Linked DNA regions of Saccharomyces cerevisiae S288C. Changing the gene in region 4 together with the main gene of any one other region gives a genetic interaction. Each region holds a gene or a part of one and is shown on either strand. Other genes may lie near its edges.

Region 1 (5,872 bases), on a different chromosome or scaffold from region 4:
ACTTGAAAATCCCGGTTTGTAATTATCGTTTCTAATTTTCTTGAAGTCATTGTTTTGATCCCAGTAATACTCAAAAACATCACTCAGTAATCTCAAAAGAACCAATATAGAATGGGCAATATCATCTGTAATATTGTCAGACGTAATTTCTTCATCTTGCACAATCAAGTCAATTAAACCTAATGTGTTTTCGATAATCGGGTTCAAGTCCTTAGTGATGGCTATATTCAAAATGATGGACCGACACGAATTGAAAACTGAATCTGCCTCCACATCAGCATATGTTTTCAAATTAGATTCTATGGGAAGAACAAGTAGAAGCCTATCAAAAAAAAGATGCTTGGTCAAAGAGTATTCCATTGGGAAATTTTTTTTGTCTTGCGGATCGCTTTGATTCATTTTAGAAAGAGCCTTAATCTTGTTGTATGTTATATGCTGAAGAAGAATGTTAAGTTTGAAGCTCTATTTGCAGGGCAAAAGATGATCACTTGACTTTATACGCTTTCGTTAAATAGCTTAACCACGCGCTGAAAACTACTATGAGCCCAATGCCAATAAAATGATCAAAGGCGTAAATGAAACCGGTACTGTGTAATAAGCGGAAAAAAAAAAAACAGTTAATTGTTTCAATCGTAATACAAAGCGAAAACCTTTAGTATATTAGTTTTATATGAGCAGTAACTCTTGTTATTCTCCTTCGAACACTGTTCATTTGCTCATCTTTTACTTAACGTTTTTACACATCTTTCTATATTGTATCCCTTTATGAAAAACTTCCAGGCGGTGTCGGCTCGCTTAGAGGGTAATACCAAAATTGTTCAACCCAGGGCCGTCGTTAACCTTGATTCTTTTGGAAAAGCTACTCGGCTGCGGTGGAACTACCTGCAATTGATACAAACAATAGTACAACTTATTACTTTGATGGCTATTAAGCATTATGAGCCCGATAGAGCCGAGGAGGTTTTGTAACAGTGTTTTGTCGCAGTATCTTGAGTGCGTCACACAGGCTTGTGGCAGAACAATAAAGATGTAGCCTTGCGGCTTGAGAAATTTGACCATGCGATGGCACATTGCACCGCGATCCCTGTGATTTTTGACAAAATTTAGCACTAGAGAGCATGATATCAGGTCGAATTTGTCGTTTTCATTTCTCGGTAGCGGTCTTTCCATAAAATCCTGCTTAATAACGCCTTCATGTTCCTCTAAATCTATACGAACCACATTTCTAAAAAGTGCACAACGGGATATGCGATTTCCGGAGCTCAATGAACCAATTTCTAATGCCACTGCTCCAGGACAATTTTCAAATGAGGACCTGATCCATTTCTCGAGCAACTTGGACGTGTCTCCTCCTCGTTCCTTCAATTGCCCGTTTTGACTGGCAATTTGGTAAGTTTCTAGTCCTCCCAATTTATTAATCTGATTCATTATGTAACCAAGTAATGTGTACATCACAGCCAAGTCAGAAGTATCCTTTGATTTGGATTCATTTTTAATTAATGAGTGCAGCCTCAGTAGTTGTGATTCCATAGCATCATTGAAGGACTGCGATTTGCCGTCTTCATAGTACTTGCCCAGTCTTACATTACCTTTAATACTTAACCTGATAATTTTGTCATTCTTCTCCTCGTTGGAATCATCTAGGTTTTCCTTAAGGCATAAAAACTTGCATATCGATTGACGCTTATTAATTAAATGGTGGAATCTTCTTATTATCCTTCTTGTCTTCTGTGGCTTGATTACTCTCGTCACGTTACTTCCTACTTGCTTCCTCTTGCCCGTAATACTCTTCGACTTTCTTGAATGCATTCCGCTGTATTAGTGGTATCGCTAAGCTGATACAAGATTGCCATCAAGGTCATGGCTAGCTCATCGATATTATAATTGTTATATTTTTTTTCACCTCACAAACCCGCCTCAAGGTTAGTTAGTCCGTACTTTTCTTTTTCTCTGAAAAACTTTTCCAGCGATGAGCTTATAAGAATTTCCATCTAAAAAAGTTATATTCGCCAACCTGCCCATCATTATCATCATAACCTCAGGTAGAAATTCTTTAGTCAAATACCGGCATAATCAGTTTTTCCATCATGGGTAAGAAAAGGGCTCCTCAAAAAGGAAAAACGGTCACAAAGCCACAGGAGATAATTGTAGATGAATCCAAATTGAACTGGAAACCAGTAGATATTCCGGACACTTTAGATGACTTTGGTGGATTTTATGGCTTGGAAGAAATTGACGGAGTGGACGTTAAAGTCGTGGATGGTAAAGTAACTTTCGTCACCAAAAAAGATTCAAAAGTGTTAAAAGATAGCAATAAGGAAAAAGTCGGAGATGATCAGGAATCTGTGGAAAATGAATCAGGGTCAGATTCGGAGTCCGAGCTCCTTGAATTCAAGAACTTGGACGATATTAAAGAAGGAGAGTTGAGTGCAGCATCTTATTCATCATCCGACGAGGATGAGCAAGGTAATATTGAGAGTTCAAAGTTAACCGATCCCAGTGAGGATGTGGATGAGGATGTGGATGAGGATGTTTTGAAAGAAAACGTCTTTAACAAAGACATTAATATCGATGATATTTCTCCTGTAAATTTACCTGAATGGACGAATCTTGCACCTCTCTCAATGACTATTTTGCAGAGCTTGCAGAATTTAAATTTTCTCAGACCTACAGAAATTCAAAAAAAGTCTATTCCAGTTATTATGCAAGGCGTAGACGTCATGGGGAAAGCCTCTACAGGTTCAGGTAAAACTTTAGCCTATGGTATTCCAATTGTAGAGAAACTGATCAGTAACTTCTCTCAGAAAAACAAGAAACCAATATCGTTAATCTTTACTCCTACAAGAGAACTGGCGCATCAAGTCACAGACCACTTAAAAAAGATCTGTGAGCCTGTTCTAGCGAAATCTCAGTACTCGATATTATCTTTGACAGGTGGACTCTCTATCCAAAAACAACAACGTCTATTAAAGTACGATAATAGTGGCCAAATTGTCATCGCAACACCAGGTAGATTTTTGGAACTGTTGGAAAAAGACAACACTTTAATCAAAAGATTCTCGAAAGTAAATACGCTAATCCTTGATGAGGCTGATAGGCTGTTACAAGACGGTCATTTCGACGAGTTCGAAAAAATCATTAAACATTTATTAGTAGAAAGAAGGAAAAACAGAGAAAACTCCGAGGGCAGTAGCAAAATTTGGCAAACTTTGATCTTTTCTGCAACATTCTCCATCGACTTGTTTGATAAGCTATCTTCTTCCCGTCAAGTTAAGGATAGAAGGTTTAAAAACAACGAAGATGAGCTAAATGCCGTAATACAACACTTAATGAGCAAAATTCACTTCAACTCAAAGCCGGTTATAATAGATACAAATCCTGAGTCAAAAGTGAGCTCTCAAATCAAAGAATCCTTAATTGAATGTCCTCCATTAGAACGTGACCTATACTGCTATTACTTTTTAACCATGTTCCCAGGTACAACTTTGATCTTTTGTAATGCCATTGACTCCGTGAAGAAATTGACCGTATACTTAAATAACCTAGGCATCCCAGCTTTTCAAATTCATTCTTCCATGACACAAAAGAACCGTTTGAAAAGCTTAGAAAGGTTCAAGCAACAAAGCGCTAAACAGAAAACAATAAATCATTCGAATCCGGATTCCGTTCAACTCTCAACAGTATTGATTGCAAGTGATGTTGCTGCTAGAGGTTTAGATATTCCGGGTGTTCAACACGTTATTCATTACCACTTACCAAGATCTACTGATATTTATATTCATAGATCAGGCAGAACTGCAAGAGCAGGTTCTGAAGGTGTCTCTGCCATGATATGCTCACCTCAAGAATCTATGGGCCCATTAAGAAAGTTAAGAAAAACTCTCGCTACAAAAAATAGTGTTTCGACGGATTTGAACTCTAGATCAACTAACAGAAAACCCATCAAGTGGCAAAACACTGTGCCTTTGTTACCAATTGAAACCGATATACTTTCACAACTCAGAGAAAGAAGTAGATTAGCAGGCGAACTGGCTGATCATGAAATTGCTTCTAATTCCCTAAGAAAAGATGACAATTGGTTAAAAAAGGCTGCTGATGAATTAGGTATTGACGTTGATTCCGACGAAGACGATATATCAAAGAGTAATTCGGACACTTTCTTACTAAAAAATAAAAATAAAAAAATGCAGAAGACTATAAATAAGGACAAGGTAAAAGCCATGAGAGCTACGTTGAACGAATTGTTATCAGTGCCTATACGTAAAGATAGAAGACAGAAATATTTGACAGGTGGGCTAGTGAATTTAGCTGATAACTTGGTCAAAAAAAGAGGTCATAATTCTATCATTGGTCATGAAAAGACAAACGCCTTAGAAACTTTGAAGAAAAAGAAAAAGAGAAATAATTAATCTCGAGGCTTTTGAAGAGAAACTCTCCTTTCACTGTATTTTCTACGTAATATACACGGTCCTCTAAACCCACTATGTACTTTCAACAAAGGAATTAGCTCAATATAGAGCAAAAGGTTTACCAAGTATATATTATATTGTACAAAAAATTAAAAGCGAATTTAATTTAAATCTGGCATCTAGTGATTAAATTCTTTTTGATTCGATTTTTTTCTCCCCCTTTTATTTATTTAAATGAAATCATAGTCGGATCCTTCATCTTCGTCATAATATTCATCCTCAGATTCATCAACTAGTTGTTCAAAATTAACTTTGTAACGCAGCATGGCACCAATACCACCAAAACCTGTGACAAATTGGGCACCTTCTGAAGATTTGTCTGTGATGAATTCCAAGGTAGCACCGAAGTTTTTGTAGTTAGCTGCTAGCCATTCAATTAAAGGTTCTTCGGAGACAACGTCCATTTCTTGGCCGGTAGCTTTGTCAATAGCAAACGACTTGTCCTTGGCTTCTGGTTCAGCGAATTTTATAACCTCATTATCCTCGGCATCTTTAAATGTATATCTGATAGTTTCCAAATTTTCGAAAACAATTAATTTTTCGACTGCACCTAAATCCAATGCCTTTAAAGTATCATCTATACCATAACAGAATTTACCAGTGTCCTGGGAAATTTCGTCAAAATATGCCTCCAATAATTTCTTTTCTTGAACATACTTGACATTGGCCAACGCTTCGGCAGAAAGTTCGATAGCCTGGTTGAAACCGTTTTCACCACCATAAGAAACATCCACGATGGAAATAACCTTACATGCTAGTCTTGGATCGAATAATTCAGATTTAGCCAAATCGGTCTTAAAGTCAGCAGAACCAGCTAAAATTAAACCCTTAACATTGACTTTGTCATTAGTAATAAAATTTTGAACAGCAACTTCGGCGACCTTTCTCACATAATTATGTCTTTTTTCTTCTCTTAAACGAGCAAAACGAAGCGCAGATTGACCACCTCTACCATGCTTTTTTGGCAGATCGACAGTAAATTTATGTAAAACAGTTCTCGTATTACCGGACACAGAACCAAACAAAGTACCTTGACCGTCCATGACTATAAAACCGAACTTGTCGTCAGCTTGAAGCAATTCCGAAAGAACTTCTGTATGAAATTTGTTATCACACAAATATAAGGATGTGTTGATAGGTTTGTAAGGTTCGATGTCAAAAGTGACCTTTTTTTCTTTACCATCTTCAGTGATGATATCACCACAATATAAAACTAAACCGTTCTTGGGCAAAGTATTATATAGCTTCAACTTTTGTTGGGTGGAAGTGATAGCAGATAAAACGGAAAGACGATTAACCCTAGATTTAATATTCGAGGCAGTACCATATTCATCTGTTAACATTTTTTGGTACAGTGGAATTTGACCCTTAGGAGGAATAACTAAGGAAATCATAGAAGTACC
Region 2 (4,607 bases), on a different chromosome or scaffold from region 4:
ATGGACGAAGAGTCGTCTCTCCCATTTCTTTCCCTCGTACACTAATAGCAGTGGTATGGGGGCCGCCTCAACTGATCAATCTTCTACGCAGGGAGAAGAACTGCACCATAGGAAGCACTGTGAAGAAGACAATGATGGTCAAAAACCGAAAAAGTCTCCCGTATCCACCTCTACAATGCAAATAAAATCTAGACAGGATGAGGACGAGGATGACGGTCGAATTGTCATTAAACCAGTTAACGATGAAGATGATACATCAGTGATTATAACTTTCAATCAGTCAATATCCCCTTTTATTATTACATTGACATTCGTTGCGTCCATTTCTGGGTTCATGTTTGGTTATGATACTGGTTACATATCGAGTGCGCTAATTTCTATCAATAGAGATTTAGACAACAAAGTTTTAACTTATGGAGAAAAAGAATTAATTACGGCCGCCACATCATTGGGCGCTTTGATTACAAGTGTGGGCGCTGGTACTGCTGCTGATGTGTTTGGAAGAAGACCATGTTTAATGTTCTCCAATCTGATGTTTTTGATCGGAGCAATTTTACAAATTACCGCGCACAAGTTTTGGCAAATGGCGGCCGGTAGACTGATTATGGGTTTCGGTGTCGGTATTGGTTCTTTGATTTCTCCTCTTTTTATTAGTGAAATTGCTCCTAAGATGATCAGGGGTAGGTTAACCGTTATAAATTCCCTATGGCTGACAGGTGGTCAATTGATTGCTTACGGTTGTGGTGCGGGCCTGAACCACGTCAAAAACGGTTGGAGAATCTTAGTTGGTTTGTCCTTGATACCTACTGTTTTGCAGTTTTCTTTTTTCTGTTTTTTGCCGGATACACCAAGATACTACGTAATGAAAGGCGATTTAAAGAGAGCAAAAATGGTTCTCAAACGAAGTTACGTAAACACTGAAGATGAAATAATTGATCAAAAAGTTGAAGAATTATCTAGCTTAAATCAATCGATACCAGGAAAAAATCCAATAACAAAATTCTGGAATATGGTCAAGGAATTGCACACTGTGCCTTCAAATTTCAGAGCTTTGATTATTGGTTGTGGTCTACAAGCCATTCAACAATTCACAGGTTGGAATTCCTTAATGTATTTCTCCGGTACAATATTTGAAACTGTTGGATTCAAAAATTCTTCTGCCGTTTCTATTATTGTCTCAGGTACTAATTTTGTGTTCACATTAATAGCATTTTTCTGTATTGATAAAATCGGCCGTAGGTACATTTTACTGATTGGACTACCTGGTATGACTGTGGCGCTGGTTATATGTGCTATAGCGTTCCATTTCCTAGGTATTAAGTTTAACGGTGCTGATGCAGTAGTGGCATCTGATGGATTTTCATCTTGGGGCATTGTCATTATCGTATTTATTATTGTGTATGCAGCCTTTTATGCCCTCGGTATCGGCACTGTTCCATGGCAACAATCGGAATTATTTCCACAAAACGTCAGAGGTGTAGGGACATCCTACGCTACTGCCACCAATTGGGCAGGTTCTTTAGTCATTGCGTCTACGTTCTTGACTATGTTACAAAATATTACACCAACGGGTACATTTTCATTCTTTGCCGGTGTAGCATGTTTATCAACCATTTTTTGTTACTTTTGTTATCCAGAACTATCAGGATTGGAGTTAGAGGAAGTTCAAACAATTTTAAAGGACGGATTCAATATCAAAGCCTCTAAAGCTCTAGCTAAAAAGAGGAAACAACAGGTGGCCGAAGGTGCTGCCCATCATAAACTCAAATTCGAACCTACACAGGAAATTGTAGAAAGTTAGACTGCTACACCAACAAAAAATAAAAGATAAAGAACAAAAAAGAAGGAAGAAAGCTATAAAAGGGAGACAATTCATTTCATCTAATCTTAAAAGTTTTTATTTAAATATATAAGTAAGAGCGAAGTATTTAAAAATAAAAATTCATAAAAGTTGAGCTTGATGAAAGTTATATCTTTTCGAGCGGTATGTTTCTTTCGTGTAAAATTCTTCTTAAAGTATCTAACTTCTCCTCATCTTTCAAGTTTCCTTTAACTACAACTTTTTGGATCAATTCAACGGGAATACTGCTGCTTAAGTAAACATTATTGAGCGACCTGAACATTTTCAAAGTTTGAAAGAATAATGGAGAATGGCAGTCGATGAAAATATAGACGTTACTTGAAGAACGCATTCCACTAATAACTCCCTTCGCGTGCAACATCCCCGGCGATAAATGGACATGATTTCTACTCATTGGTGATATTGCTCCGGATTCAATAATCTTTATGACAGATTGAAGATTTGTTCCATGAATTAGTTCCTGTGGTAACTGCGACGCTTCAGTAATTGGTACGAGAACCTCATCTGATGGCTGAATCGATTTGATTGAATGTCCCTGAGTAGCACAGATCCATTCTTCGTCCGCTCCTAACGTTTTTATATGAAAGCGTTGTTTGTCATTTTCCTTAACAATGCGATGGATATCATCCACCGTACATTTATGAGTTTTCAATCTATTATGAGACAATAGTTCTTTCAGCGGTGTATAACCGTTTGAGTCAATAGTCAACTTTTCTTTCACCGCTGTATGTCGAAGCAGATATGATAAAGCTTTGGAAAGCTGTACATCCCTTTTATCTTTTTGTAGTACCTGGCGCATTGTCAAGTCCACCTTTCCCAGTCATTCTGCTCAATTCTGTAATAATGTATTATGCATTTTGCCATTATTTTGATGAGCTTTCCTCGCGTCACGGTGTCAGTAAAAAAGAACAAATACATCACGAAGACAGAAATACGGACAAGAACCGCAGAAGACATTAAAGTCAAAACATGAAGCTTAATTCAACTCGTGTAAGTATCTTTAAAGGAGATACACTTCCCATTCTTGAATTATTTTTTTATTTAATTTGCCTTATTTATTCAATTATTTATTATGTGAGCACCAGCTGAGTCTAAGACTTGAAATTAATTAATTCGGGCTGATTCAAACTTGAATGCATCAAAATATAAGATTGAATCAAAATGAAAAAATGGTAAAAAGCCGTACCAGAAATCAAGAGATGGAAAAGGTACTCGGAATGATTCCAACCTTCTTCCTTTTTATTTCGTCTGAACAATGATTCAGGGAACCTGGTAACGTAAATTATAGATGCCGCTACCAAAGCCACAAGTTCCCACGTAATTGCGTTCACTTTTATCCTCTCTTTCAGGTTTTCTAAACCATCAAAGGTGATTATTGCGGTTAATAGTGGCAAGGAACAACACACTACTGATACCGAAATGAAGAAAACTGTTTTATTGAATCTTTTCGAGGAAATGAGTTTGTCCGTCAATATAAAAAAGTATGCCACTAATCCTATGAAGTTCATTAAAAGGGTAAAAATTTTGAAGAAAAACACGTAATCATAGAATAGATAATAAAGAATTGTGATTTGTGATGATATCAATAAGTTGATATTCGATAAATACGAAAACTTCTGCCAATGTTCGAGATGTTGTTGTAGAGAAATATTTTTGACGAAGTGATAAATGAAATGCACCATACAAAATACAAAAACGTTCAATAAATAAAAATTGAATACAATGTAGTCTGTCATTGTAGTGGTGGTGGGGAACAAAGGTATCAAATAAAAGTCCGTGAAAAATATTAGGAGACAAAATGACAGCATCGAACCCAAGAGATATATTAGTGCTACTAGTGACTCGTTCCTACTGGATTTATTTTTGTACTGTTTCTGCAATTTTGCCAAGTCATGGAATGGAAAACCCTTCTTTGTTTCTTTTGTCTCTGCATTCTCGTTCGAATCTGTCCCCCTAGTATCATTGCTCTCTTTCTCAGTGGTTGTCTCGCATTTGACTGGGCTTTGCTCTATTGTAGTCAATGAAACCATACTGTCAATATATATGTACCTTTATACCAATATTATATGCGCTGACAAGAACTTTAAGAAATTAATTTCCTTTTCTACTTTTTTTCATTTTTATTTTACTTCTGCGTCCATATATCCGGACCATATATATGAGTGTAAATCATTTAGCTGTTGACACCATTGAGTATTTACAATTAAAACCAATTGAGCTCAACAGGCTTGCGTTGAATAATGTTGAGCTGCCCAACGAGCCCTTTTCTCGCGGAGTGCTGTCCGAATTGTCCGAGTTTTTATACGGACAGAACTATCGCTTCTTTGAAGTATATATAAGAATAGACCGGCTGTTCACCCCGTATCCTCCTTTTCTATCTCTTGGCTTGCTATGTTTCAATGTCAGCCTTTGCTTTTATGTGCCCTTGCATACACGTGAATATGTCTATTTTATGTAAACTATAACAGCTGGTACTGCCCGTACATATGCTTAAATTAAATAGCTATTGACGAAGGCCCATTTTCTCGTAGAATATCAGGGTAACATATGGAATAATCATTTTTCTCTGTCTATAAGTAGTAAGACTATTGCTTCTGATCCTTCTGTCAATCGCCTGTCTCCAGTTTTATTTCTTGTCACCTAGAGAAACATACGCTGGAGTTCCCTGTACTATCAAAAGTTGTTTCGGTCCCGCCATTTCCGACTAGCTCTATAGCTAATGGTTGAGACTCAAATAGTTCTGTAG
Region 3 (6,363 bases), on a different chromosome or scaffold from region 4:
ACAGTTTTCAATAGCCATTGTGTGATTTAAATAGTGCATTGTTCTTTGTAACAATCTTGCAGTTAGTTTTACTTCGGTGAACTTAAATTTAAATTACTTGTAACGCATATATAGTACTTTGGTTAAAATTGTGTATTCCACATATTTACATTCTCGATTAAAAGGATTGACTTTCATAGCTTATCTAATAACTAGATCAACATTTCAAGTTGATGCCATGTCTTTTTTCTTCTTCTCTAATCTCAAACATTACCTGAACAGCAATAAATAGGCTTACCATTACCGCAGTCAAAAACTCCGGACTATGTGAATTGTTAAATATGCCCTTCAATAGAAGCTTCGTTCCCTCTGCACCCAAGCAAAATCCATAGACATTAATAATCATCATCATGCAAATATTTATTGCAGCACCGATACCGCAAACAAACCTGTACCAGCTTCTGAATCTATATCTACTAAAACAGTTAGTAATGTAGGTTTCGCCTAATAATAAAAGGACTGTTAACCACCCCCAAAACAACACTCGTAATTGGATGTCATGCCATATTGCTACAAATGAGAATACGGCAAAGCTCGTTAATATTTTGTTATTGGACCCGCCAAATGGAACATAGATGTAACGGATTACCCACTTGTTAAAACTTGTATGCCAGGCTCTCCAGAATCCCACTGTACTATAATTATTATCCACACATCGTAGCATATTTTCAGGTGCATCAATACCATCGACCATGGCCCACAGCCGAAAGAGCCTCCATGGGATCAAAAGTTTTAAATACATAATGTTCAAGTTGAACAGCGCGATCATAGCCTGTTGCAAGGGTGTATCATTGTTCCATGCCTTGGTCCTTGCTATTGCACCCACATAGATATAATGTAGGATAATTTCCATCAAAAGCAAACTCGAAAATACTTTGAGGGCATAGAAGCCTATGTTTTTTTTCGTTAGCGAAGGAAGCTTATTTTCTGATTGATAAAGGTAGTCATTAAAAGTGATAATTGGGCCCACTAAAAACAATGGCGCGTAAGTAATATAAGCGATAAAATTGATAAAGTTGTAATCCTGGATGTGATGTTCTGCTACCAGTCGTTCCTTTTCCTCCAGAACATTCTTACCTGACTCATAAATGGTTTGTAGAGTAGAACCAGATAAACTTTTTCTGAATTCAGGTCGTCTATCATCGTAATCTATCGAAGGTTGGCGGCTCAATTGTTCATGCCATCTTTCCAAAAAATCCATGGAGTAACTTAACAAACGCAATAATGTAAAATTGAAAAAAAAATCCCATCGAGGAACGATACCCTTATACCATTGATCCATGGGACTTAGGATGATAGCAATATTATTAAAGGGGAGATTTTTCATTTTTTGATTGATGAATAGTGTAAAGATACCATAGGACCAAATCGCAAAAGCGGCTATCAAACGCTTTCTCTTTAGCGAATGTGCCAAAGTGAAGAAAATAAAAGCATGCGTAAAGAGCTTAACAGAATTGATCCCGTACATGAAACAGACAAAAACTAATCCACACGCAAAATCGAATTTTGTTTTCGGAATTTTACTAAATTTAACAAAAACCTTTTTTAATATAATTTGTAGTAATATTAAGATGGCCAACAAAAAAAAATTGGATCTAAAAAACCTATACTGAGGATCGCTGTTATCCACTTTGCGGCCCAGAATCCAACCATGGGCTAGCAGTCCGCTGAATTTATAGTAGTTTGGATTAGACTCGGAGCTCGTAGCCAATGCCGCCTTTATCATGAAAGGAACTACTACGGTGAACGCCAAATAATATAGTCTAAATTCCCATGTATTCCATAGCGGAGGAGATGGGCTATTAGAGCTGAGCACAGGGTTACGGGTAACAGTAACGGCACTAGAAGATGAACCATTCTCTTCTTTAGATGAATTGATAAATATCCTTTGTCGCCTTTTGAATTCAATGTCTGGCTTTATTCGTGAATCAAGTGCCTGCACGGAAAAGAAATGTACGATGCAACTCCAGATTCTTAACATCGACATCTGACTTGTAGCGATGACGTCAATTATTTTTGAGCCCTATAATAAGGTAGTTGAGAAGACAAATTTGAAGCACCCAAAAACCCTCAAAACAGTACCTACCTCAAAGCTAGCTTCTCTTTCTTCTTCTATTTGACTTCATTTTTTCCATATTCACCATTGGTACCTTCCATAAACAACTATAACGCAGTACAAATGAAAAAAGAAGAAAAAAAAAAGAAAAAAAAAGAGACCTAAACGCGCCAAGATTACAGGTAAACGAGTAGAACTTTGATCTATGTGCCTGAAAACCCCTCGGGCACAGGGTTCATAACGAAAAAAAAAAAATCGTAAGTAATGGTAACCATAGTAACCGATGCATGGGTTTTAAAAGTCACGTGCTTAAGTCCATTAAGACCGGAAACCTCTACACCAGTTCTCCTTCTGCAAGGGTTTTCTTTTTTTATTTTTTTTGATGGGATGGCTCTCTTTCCCCGTGTTTGTACTTTTGATATATATAGGATATTCATCAAAACAGCGTTTCGAACTCAGCGCTTGCACGATAACATAAGCACCTCGAGACACATTAGGAAAATTTAACATCCTATTTATTTATTGAATTTACAGGCACGGAAGGCCAATTAGTTTAATTCAGACACATATCATGAGAGCAGTCACTAGAAACAAAATAGTCAATAACCTATACTTTTCTACATTTCTCATTGCATTCGCATCAGTGGCCATCGGTTCTGTGCTGCCATGTCCAGCACATTCAGTGGATTCTGATTCACCAGCTGTACAGCAACACAAGCTTCAGCTTGCTCATGAGCAGGAGTTAAAGAGGAAGGATGCTTTAAGTAAAAAGATTTAAACAGGTACGGGCTATCTGGAACTTTTGATAAGTTGTATTCTATCTCTTTTATTTCCTCTTTTTATTTATTTTCGAGTGCCGTAATCTTCGCTACTTCAAGTTTCATAATCAATCGACTTTCTGTATGGGTAAGCATCTGGTGTGATGCAGTTTCATTATGACACCACAAATACAAAAGAGACTATTTAAATATGTATATAGATCACATTCCAAAAAAGAAAACCATTAATAATATCACTCTTTAATATTCCAAATTGAAACGAAAAAGCGCTATTCTTATTCGCTTCCTAACTACCGCCCTAGTTCGTGCTTGCATTTTTTTGTAGAACGATAAATTATGGTATCCCACGTGATTGAGTGTAACCCTGAATTGTTGAAGAGAAAATGAAGCGGAAGAAGCAAAGGACAAAAAACAATTCATTTGATTTTGCCACTTCTAAATGAAGGTCTAATAAAAGCTATCTTGAGCATCTTTATTAGATTCTGCACAGCAACAAGCGATTTTCTTTGGTCAAAATATAATAATTGACTTACGTTTTTCCCGGACTGTCCTTTCATAATATAATAACCATCTGCAAGCCATGTCAGATGAAAACCATAACAGTGATGTTCAAGATATTCCTTCACCTGAACTATCCGTCGATAGTAACTCTAACGAGAATGAATTGATGAATAACTCAAGCGCAGACGATGGAATCGAATTTGACGCCCCAGAGGAAGAAAGAGAAGCCGAAAGGGAGGAGGAAAATGAAGAACAACACGAACTGGAAGATGTGAACGATGAAGAGGAGGAAGATAAGGAGGAAAAAGGAGAGGAAAACGGGGAAGTAATAAACACAGAAGAAGAAGAAGAAGAAGAACATCAACAAAAAGGCGGAAATGATGATGACGATGATGATAATGAAGAGGAAGAAGAGGAAGAAGAGGATGATGACGATGATGATGATGACGACGATGATGATGAAGAAGAAGAAGAAGAAGAAGAAGAAGAAGGCAACGACAACAGTTCGGTAGGCTCAGATAGTGCCGCTGAAGACGGTGAGGATGAGGAAGACAAAAAGGATAAAACCAAAGATAAAGAGGTCGAACTTCGCCGTGAAACATTGGAAAAAGAACAAAAGGACGTAGATGAAGCTATAAAAAAAATAACTCGTGAAGAAAATGATAATACTCACTTTCCAACTAATATGGAAAATGTTAATTACGATCTTTTACAAAAGCAAGTCAAGTACATTATGGACAGTAACATGCTAAATTTGCCTCAGTTTCAACATTTACCTCAAGAAGAAAAGATGTCTGCGATTTTAGCAATGTTAAATTCAAATTCTGACACAGCTCTTTCCGTACCTCCTCATGATAGTACTATCTCAACAACAGCTAGCGCCTCAGCCACAAGCGGCGCAAGAAGCAATGATCAAAGAAAACCTCCATTGTCAGATGCCCAAAGACGTATGAGATTTCCTAGGGCGGATTTATCTAAGCCGATTACCGAAGAAGAACACGACCGTTATGCAGCCTATTTGCACGGTGAAAATAAAATCACCGAGATGCACAATATTCCTCCGAAGTCAAGATTATTCATTGGTAATTTGCCGCTAAAGAACGTTTCTAAGGAGGATTTATTTAGGATTTTCTCTCCATACGGTCATATCATGCAAATCAATATCAAAAATGCCTTTGGATTCATTCAGTTTGACAACCCTCAAAGCGTTAGAGATGCAATTGAATGCGAGTCTCAAGAAATGAACTTTGGCAAAAAGTTGATCCTGGAAGTTTCTAGCTCGAATGCTCGTCCTCAATTTGATCATGGTGATCACGGTACAAACAGTAGTTCTACTTTTATTTCTTCCGCAAAACGACCATTTCAAACTGAATCTGGTGACATGTACAATGACGACAATGGTGCTGGCTACAAGAAATCCAGAAGACACACCGTTTCTTGCAACATTTTCGTTAAAAGAACCGCAGATCGTACGTATGCCATTGAGGTTTTCAACAGGTTTAGGGACGGGACTGGTTTGGAAACTGATATGATTTTCTTGAAACCAAGAATGGAACTGGGAAAGCTTATCAATGATGCCGCATATAATGGGGTGTGGGGCGTTGTTTTAGTTAATAAAACACACAATGTAGATGTTCAAACTTTCTACAAAGGCTCACAAGGTGAAACGAAATTTGATGAATATATTAGCATATCCGCTGATGACGCAGTTGCCATTTTTAATAACATCAAAAACAACAGAAATAATTCTCGTCCTACTGATTACCGTGCTATGAGCCATCAGCAAAACATATATGGCGCTCCTCCTCTTCCTGTTCCAAACGGCCCAGCTGTCGGACCTCCTCCTCAAACAAACTATTACCAGGGTTACAGTATGCCTCCTCCACAACAACAACAGCAACAGCCATATGGTAATTATGGGATGCCACCACCATCCCATGACCAAGGATATGGTTCTCAACCTCCAATTCCAATGAATCAGAGCTACGGTCGCTACCAGACTTCTATTCCACCACCACCTCCACAACAACAAATTCCTCAAGGGTATGGTCGTTATCAGGCTGGTCCGCCTCCTCAACCACCTTCTCAAACTCCAATGGACCAGCAACAACTATTATCTGCCATTCAAAACCTTCCACCTAACGTTGTATCGAATTTGCTTTCAATGGCCCAACAACAGCAACAACAACCTCATGCTCAGCAGCAATTGGTTGGTTTAATACAATCAATGCAAGGCCAGGCTCCTCAACAACAGCAACAACAGTTGGGTGGATATTCCTCTATGAACTCATCCTCTCCCCCTCCTATGAGTACCAATTACAATGGTCAAAATATATCTGCAAAACCCTCTGCCCCACCAATGTCACACCAACCTCCGCCACCTCAACAACAACAACAACAACAACAACAGCAACAGCAACAGCAACAGCAACCTGCTGGCAATAATGTTCAAAGTCTATTAGATAGTTTAGCAAAACTACAAAAATAGACTCCCTTTTTTCAATCTTTTCCATTTCTTGTACATTATACTTGAATTCTTTTAATTGGACGAAAAATTTTTAAGGAAAGTAGATTGATATGGTTTGCATAAATTCGACATAGCGGTTTATGCTTTAATCGTTTTCCCTTCCCAAATTGGACTAGGACTTAATTCTTACTATTGCTGCATCTCTTTCAGAACGAAAAACTCTTTACCCTGTTATAAATTTCTTTTATTTCTTCCTTATCAAATGCTATTTGGTCTATTTATTTCACTTACACGCACCTCTTCATTTGTTTCCTCTGCCAAGAGAATGGCTTTTCATTTCTTTTTCTTCTCTTTAGTTAAATGTTCTTATATCAAAACTTTGTAAAATTGCTTTGTAAACAGATTATTAAGTACCGCTCTATTTACCCCATAACGAAAAGAAGTTCCGCGCTTAGGACACCTTTCCCTAGAGGTTCTTGTTTGATTTGTTTTAGTCATCTGCCTGTCGTTTATTTTAGTTT
Region 4 (4,273 bases):
TCCAGTCAAAGATCACCGATGATAATGAAATTGGTTTTAAGATTTTCTATGATCTACTGACACATAAGAAACAGATTTTTCACGAATTGAAAAGGCAAAATTCAAAAAATTAGGACTAGGCGATATAGATTTGTATATAATTTTATATAAAAGGAAATATGTACATCATTTTCTTTCACTGTAGGCAGCTGTTTCAAGTTCTTTTTTTATTGGAGATATAATTATTTACATTATTGTTATAGAGGACACACGAAAAAGCAAGAAGGGAACTATAAGAAAAATAAAAAATAATGAAGAATACAGATCTGTAATTAGTCATTTCAAGTGAGCGTAATAAGTAAAGTAAGGTAGAACGGAATAAAATGCTCAAGCGTATTGTTGGATTGCCTGCAAGGCGTTGCTTTCATAGAACGTCCTTTTTGCTGGGCAGTGACTTTGAAACTGTGCATATTCCCAATACGAACCACTTTAAAGATTTACTTATAGAGAACGGTAAATTTCAAGAGGATCAAGCAACTACAATAGTAGAGATAATGACAGATGCAATTAGGGGCGGGGTTAATCATGTTTCACAGGATCTGGCAAAGAGAGAAAAATTGACCCAACTTAGCTATCAACAACGTGTTGATTTTGCAAAGTTAAGAGATCAGCTATTGAGTGCTGATAGAAGTGAATTTCACAATATTCAAAACGAGTACGAAAGTGTGAAAAACGATCTGGAGAAACTAAGAAACAAACTAAGGGAAGAAATTACCAAAACAAACGCCGGTTTCAAACTTGATCTGTCCTTAGAAAAAGGCAGAATTAGGGAAGAAAGTAGTCATCACGATCTGCAAATAAAAGAAATCGACACCAAAATTGAGCAAGAAGTGACCAATATGAAGATGCAGATTGATTCTGTCAAGACTCAAGTCATGCAATGGCTGATAGGTGTCTGTACAGGTACATTTGCACTTGTATTAGCATATATGAGGTTATTAACATAGTGGCGACAAGCGAGGAAAAAGGGCTAGACTTGGTACTTGAAAATTGCATTTACGTTTTGTATAACACAGTTCAGTAAGAGTACACATTCAATAACGTAGTAAGAGTATATTTATTTATATAAGAAGGATAAAAAAGAATCACCAAACGGATCACAAATGGCATAATCACGTAGCAACCTGGAAATAAAGCTATAAGTTGAATAGTTCAGTCAAAATTTTGACGGTGTCATCAGGGGATTGTACTGAATGTCCGATGGTTCTTTCATCGACAAAAATTTCGTAATCGTTACCACCGACCATAGTCTTGTCACCAAAGAAATGAATTTCCTTGAAACCATCTTTTTCAACGTGTTGCAAACAGTAGGTCTTATCCCAACCAGCGGGGAAAACGTCGAAAGAGATTTGGCCACCAATGGAGAAAGTCAAACCGTAGTCTGGGAATTCCTTTTTCAAAGCTTCAACGAACTTGGCTCTGATTTGGTGTTCCTTATCGTATCTTTCGAATTCGTTTCTTTCCTCAGTAGAAGCATTTCTACCAATTGGGGAAACGTTGATCATACCATTTCTAAATTCCAAGAAAGTACCTCTTCTCTTTGGCAAGTCAATTTCAGATAGATATCTCAAAATGAAGACGGCCAATTTATTGTATTTTTCCTCACCGAGCCAGTTGATGAAGGATTGAGAAGCTAATTCCTTACCTAATCTGTAGGCGGTCAAACCATTTTCAGAGAAAGAATAGTCAAATTCATCTAAAACGTTTGGGCCTAACTGTTCTAATTGCTTGCTTAAGTCAGAACCACCGACAAAACCAATGCAGCACTTGTTTCTCAACTTGGCCAAAGTTTTTCTAACTTCTTCAGAAACAGTTAATCTGGCTGGTGTCAAGGTACCATCAACATCGAATAAAACCAAAGTTTCTGGTTTTTCCTTGTAAGCGAATTCAGCGATACTCATTATTGGTGGTTATATTAGCAGATAGGTAAAAAAGGAGAAAGAAGTACTAAGGAAATTGTCGATTTAGTTTTCGTCAAAGATCTTATACTTTGCCAAGAAGAATAGACGATATAAACAGAAAAATAAGTGAAAAGAACACGTAAAAAACGGCACATTTTAATATATTTCAAATTTTTTTTTCATCAACGACAAAAGGAATGCATTTTATCCACTTTTCGTGTCTCATGACGAGTATACCGATAAACGCCAAATGCGTATTTTATTATCTATTTTGGCCAAAATCAACGTGTCCCGTGGATTCAGCGTGCCTAGCAACTTCTCTTTCACCCACAAAGGTCATTTGGCAAGTGTTGCATTTGATCTGGGCCTTATGAGTGTTGAAGGAATAGCCAGTTTGCTTCAAATTTGAGGCCAGTTGCAAAGCTGCTGTTAGAACATCATCTGATTCCGGCTGGTTCTTGTTGAAAACAGTTTTAAACTCGTTCATGGTCAAGGAATCATAGTGGATTCCGTTGAACAGTATCAAAATGTAGTTGTCGAACTTGTCCTCGTTGAACTTTTCGATTTTAACAGCGTCAATGTCGACTACATAAATAGCTACTGCGAGTGCATCGGATATGATACCAATCTCGATGGCTCCACCCCAAGATTCCATTTTCAAAATCCATTGCGCGTAATCTTTGTTAGGTTTGTCCAATATGGCGTCATTGAACTTGACGGGGTTGTTGAGGACCTCCTTAGAGACCATCTCCCTGAGGTCACGAACGCTATCTTGTTTGAAGATGCCATAGGCAATAGCATGGAACAGACACGAGTTGTCGTCGAGAACAGGATGTACTGATAGGACGTTTTCTCCACTGCCACCAATTGACATCTCAGTGCTCTTCAGCACCCTCTTTGGTTTGGGTTGTGGTGGTGGCAAACTGAAGCTTTCGTTACTATCAGAGGACTCTATTGTAATCTTTTCACCAGAGTTAATACCCAGCTCGTCCAGCTGGGTTTGTCCCAAAGAAGCGTCTTCCCCTTGCAAATTGATCCTTTGAGGCGGATATCCAAACCTCATCGTCTTAACATCTACATTGATATGCTCAATAAGATCATTTAGTGTTGCATCTTGCTTCAAAGTAACGACTTGGTTGATTCCTGCTCCAGTAACTTTCAGTTTCATCTTGAAAGTTTCTTCTCTTGGTTATCTTCTTCAATGTTATCTTGTTTTCAAAGGAAAAAGTTGTTATTTGCCACTGAAATCGGCTTATTTCGCCCTTTACTATTAGTTACTACCATTGCCCTATAGAAACGATATATATTGGTACGAAGAAAATACAGATCACAACTTCAGTTCTACCAATTGCAGCTTCACCAGTTGATGTAATGAGACAGCAATTGAACGTATGTAGAACAGATTAAACAATAGCAAAACGACCACAATCAAGTATAAGAACAACCATGTTTCCATGGTGACCTTGAGACCTTGCTGCTCTGCAATTGCGGGAGCCGTAACAACCGCTTCTCTTGGTTGTTCAAGGTCAACCTCTTTCAACTTATTTTTTACTTCTTTATCATCTTGCTCCTCTTCCTCCTTGCTGATAGTAATTTGGCACTCTTCGACATTGTTCTTGATGAACTTGGAAAGAATACGCTCCATTAATTGCGCAGCCTCCAATTGACCATTCTTGCATCCATTTTCAACCATACCTTTGATCCAACTGGAACCAGTCCATTCCACCCAAAAGGATACCCGTAACAGACACGTTATTTCGTCATTCCAACGGATTAGATACCTTGTCTTAGTTGAGAAACTACCACCACTGGGCACGTTCGGAGTGCGTATGCTACTGATAACCTCATAGTAAGTATCAGGATCTTTTCTCTTTATTACCTCAGCAACATAACATGTCGTGGACTTGGGCCCCGCAGGAAAGTGCAATGCTTTCTCGTATGAATACTCACGCTTCAAAGTCATGGAAGATCCGTCAATGCTCGTGAAATTTGGAATAGTGGTAATTTGTGAACCTTCTTGACCCCGTAAAAAATCTAGAAGAAATTCGTTTTGCTCTGAGTTGAACATGATCTCAAAAAGTATACCAGGTGCACAATCGAATGGTAACTCCTTGAGAACAAACTCGTTATTGGCCATAGGTTCAGCCGGAAAGCTTGTTGAATGATGATATATTGGACCATCATACTGATACGAGGAATCGGCACGCAGTTTATACGCTTTCTCTTTTTCTTTATCCGGCGAGGAACTCGTACTATTGGGGGTAGTCTCATTTGTAGAGATATTTTCATCGTCATTTTCATTAGTGTCATTATCATTAGCGTCTTTATCATTG

What was found.
Region 1: mutations in SEC53 (region 4) and MAK5 together harm fitness more than expected from each alone (negative genetic interaction), as found in Saccharomyces cerevisiae (2 studies listed by BioGRID).
Region 2: mutations in SEC53 (region 4) and TPT1 together harm fitness more than expected from each alone (negative genetic interaction), as found in Saccharomyces cerevisiae (2 studies listed by BioGRID).
Region 3: mutations in SEC53 (region 4) and NAB3 together harm fitness more than expected from each alone (negative genetic interaction), as found in Saccharomyces cerevisiae (2 studies listed by BioGRID).

Annotation. Positions count from the first base shown.
Region 1 is NC_001134.8:526,230-532,101, forward strand, and holds MAK5 (ATP-dependent RNA helicase), read left to right. Parts: upstream 1-2,087; coding exon 2,088-4,409; downstream 4,410-5,872. Other genes in the region: GTPase-activating protein IRA1, read right to left, coding at 1-399; BMT2 (25S rRNA (adenine2142-N1)-methyltransferase), read right to left, coding at 796-1,809; SUP45 (translation termination factor eRF1), read right to left, coding at 4,640-5,872. UniProt on the Saccharomyces cerevisiae protein: ATP-binding RNA helicase involved in the biogenesis of 60S ribosomal subunits and is required for the normal formation of 25S and 5.8S rRNAs. Required for the maintenance of dsRNA killer plasmid.
Region 2 is NC_001147.6:124,030-128,636, forward strand, and holds TPT1 (tRNA 2'-phosphotransferase), read right to left. Parts: upstream 2,661-4,607; coding exon 1,968-2,660; downstream 1-1,967. Other genes in the region: myo-inositol transporter ITR2, read left to right, coding at 1-1,801; IZH4 (Izh4p), read right to left, coding at 2,953-3,891. UniProt on the Saccharomyces cerevisiae protein: Catalyzes the last step of tRNA splicing, the transfer of the splice junction 2'-phosphate from ligated tRNA to NAD to produce ADP-ribose 1''-2'' cyclic phosphate.
Region 3 is NC_001148.4:184,817-191,179, reverse strand, and holds NAB3 (Nab3p), read left to right. Parts: upstream 1-3,454; coding exon 3,455-5,863; downstream 5,864-6,363. Other genes in the region: GUP2 (putative O-acyltransferase), read right to left, coding at 197-2,026; COA2 (Coa2p), read left to right, coding at 2,667-2,873. UniProt on the Saccharomyces cerevisiae protein: May be required for packaging pre-mRNAs into ribonucleoprotein structures amenable to efficient nuclear RNA processing. Binds to poly(A)+ RNA. Appears to act in the maintenance of CLN3 mRNA levels.
Region 4 is NC_001138.5:42,453-46,725, forward strand, and holds SEC53 (phosphomannomutase SEC53), read right to left. Parts: upstream 1,941-4,273; coding exon 1,176-1,940; downstream 1-1,175. Other genes in the region: GTPase-activating protein RGD2, read left to right, coding at 1-113; FMP32 (Fmp32p), read left to right, coding at 363-986; ubiquitin-specific protease OTU1, read right to left, coding at 2,203-3,108; LAM5 (Lam5p), read right to left, coding at 3,268-4,273. UniProt on the Saccharomyces cerevisiae protein: Involved in the synthesis of the GDP-mannose and dolichol-phosphate-mannose required for a number of critical mannosyl transfer reactions such as folding and glycosylation of secretory proteins in the ER lumen.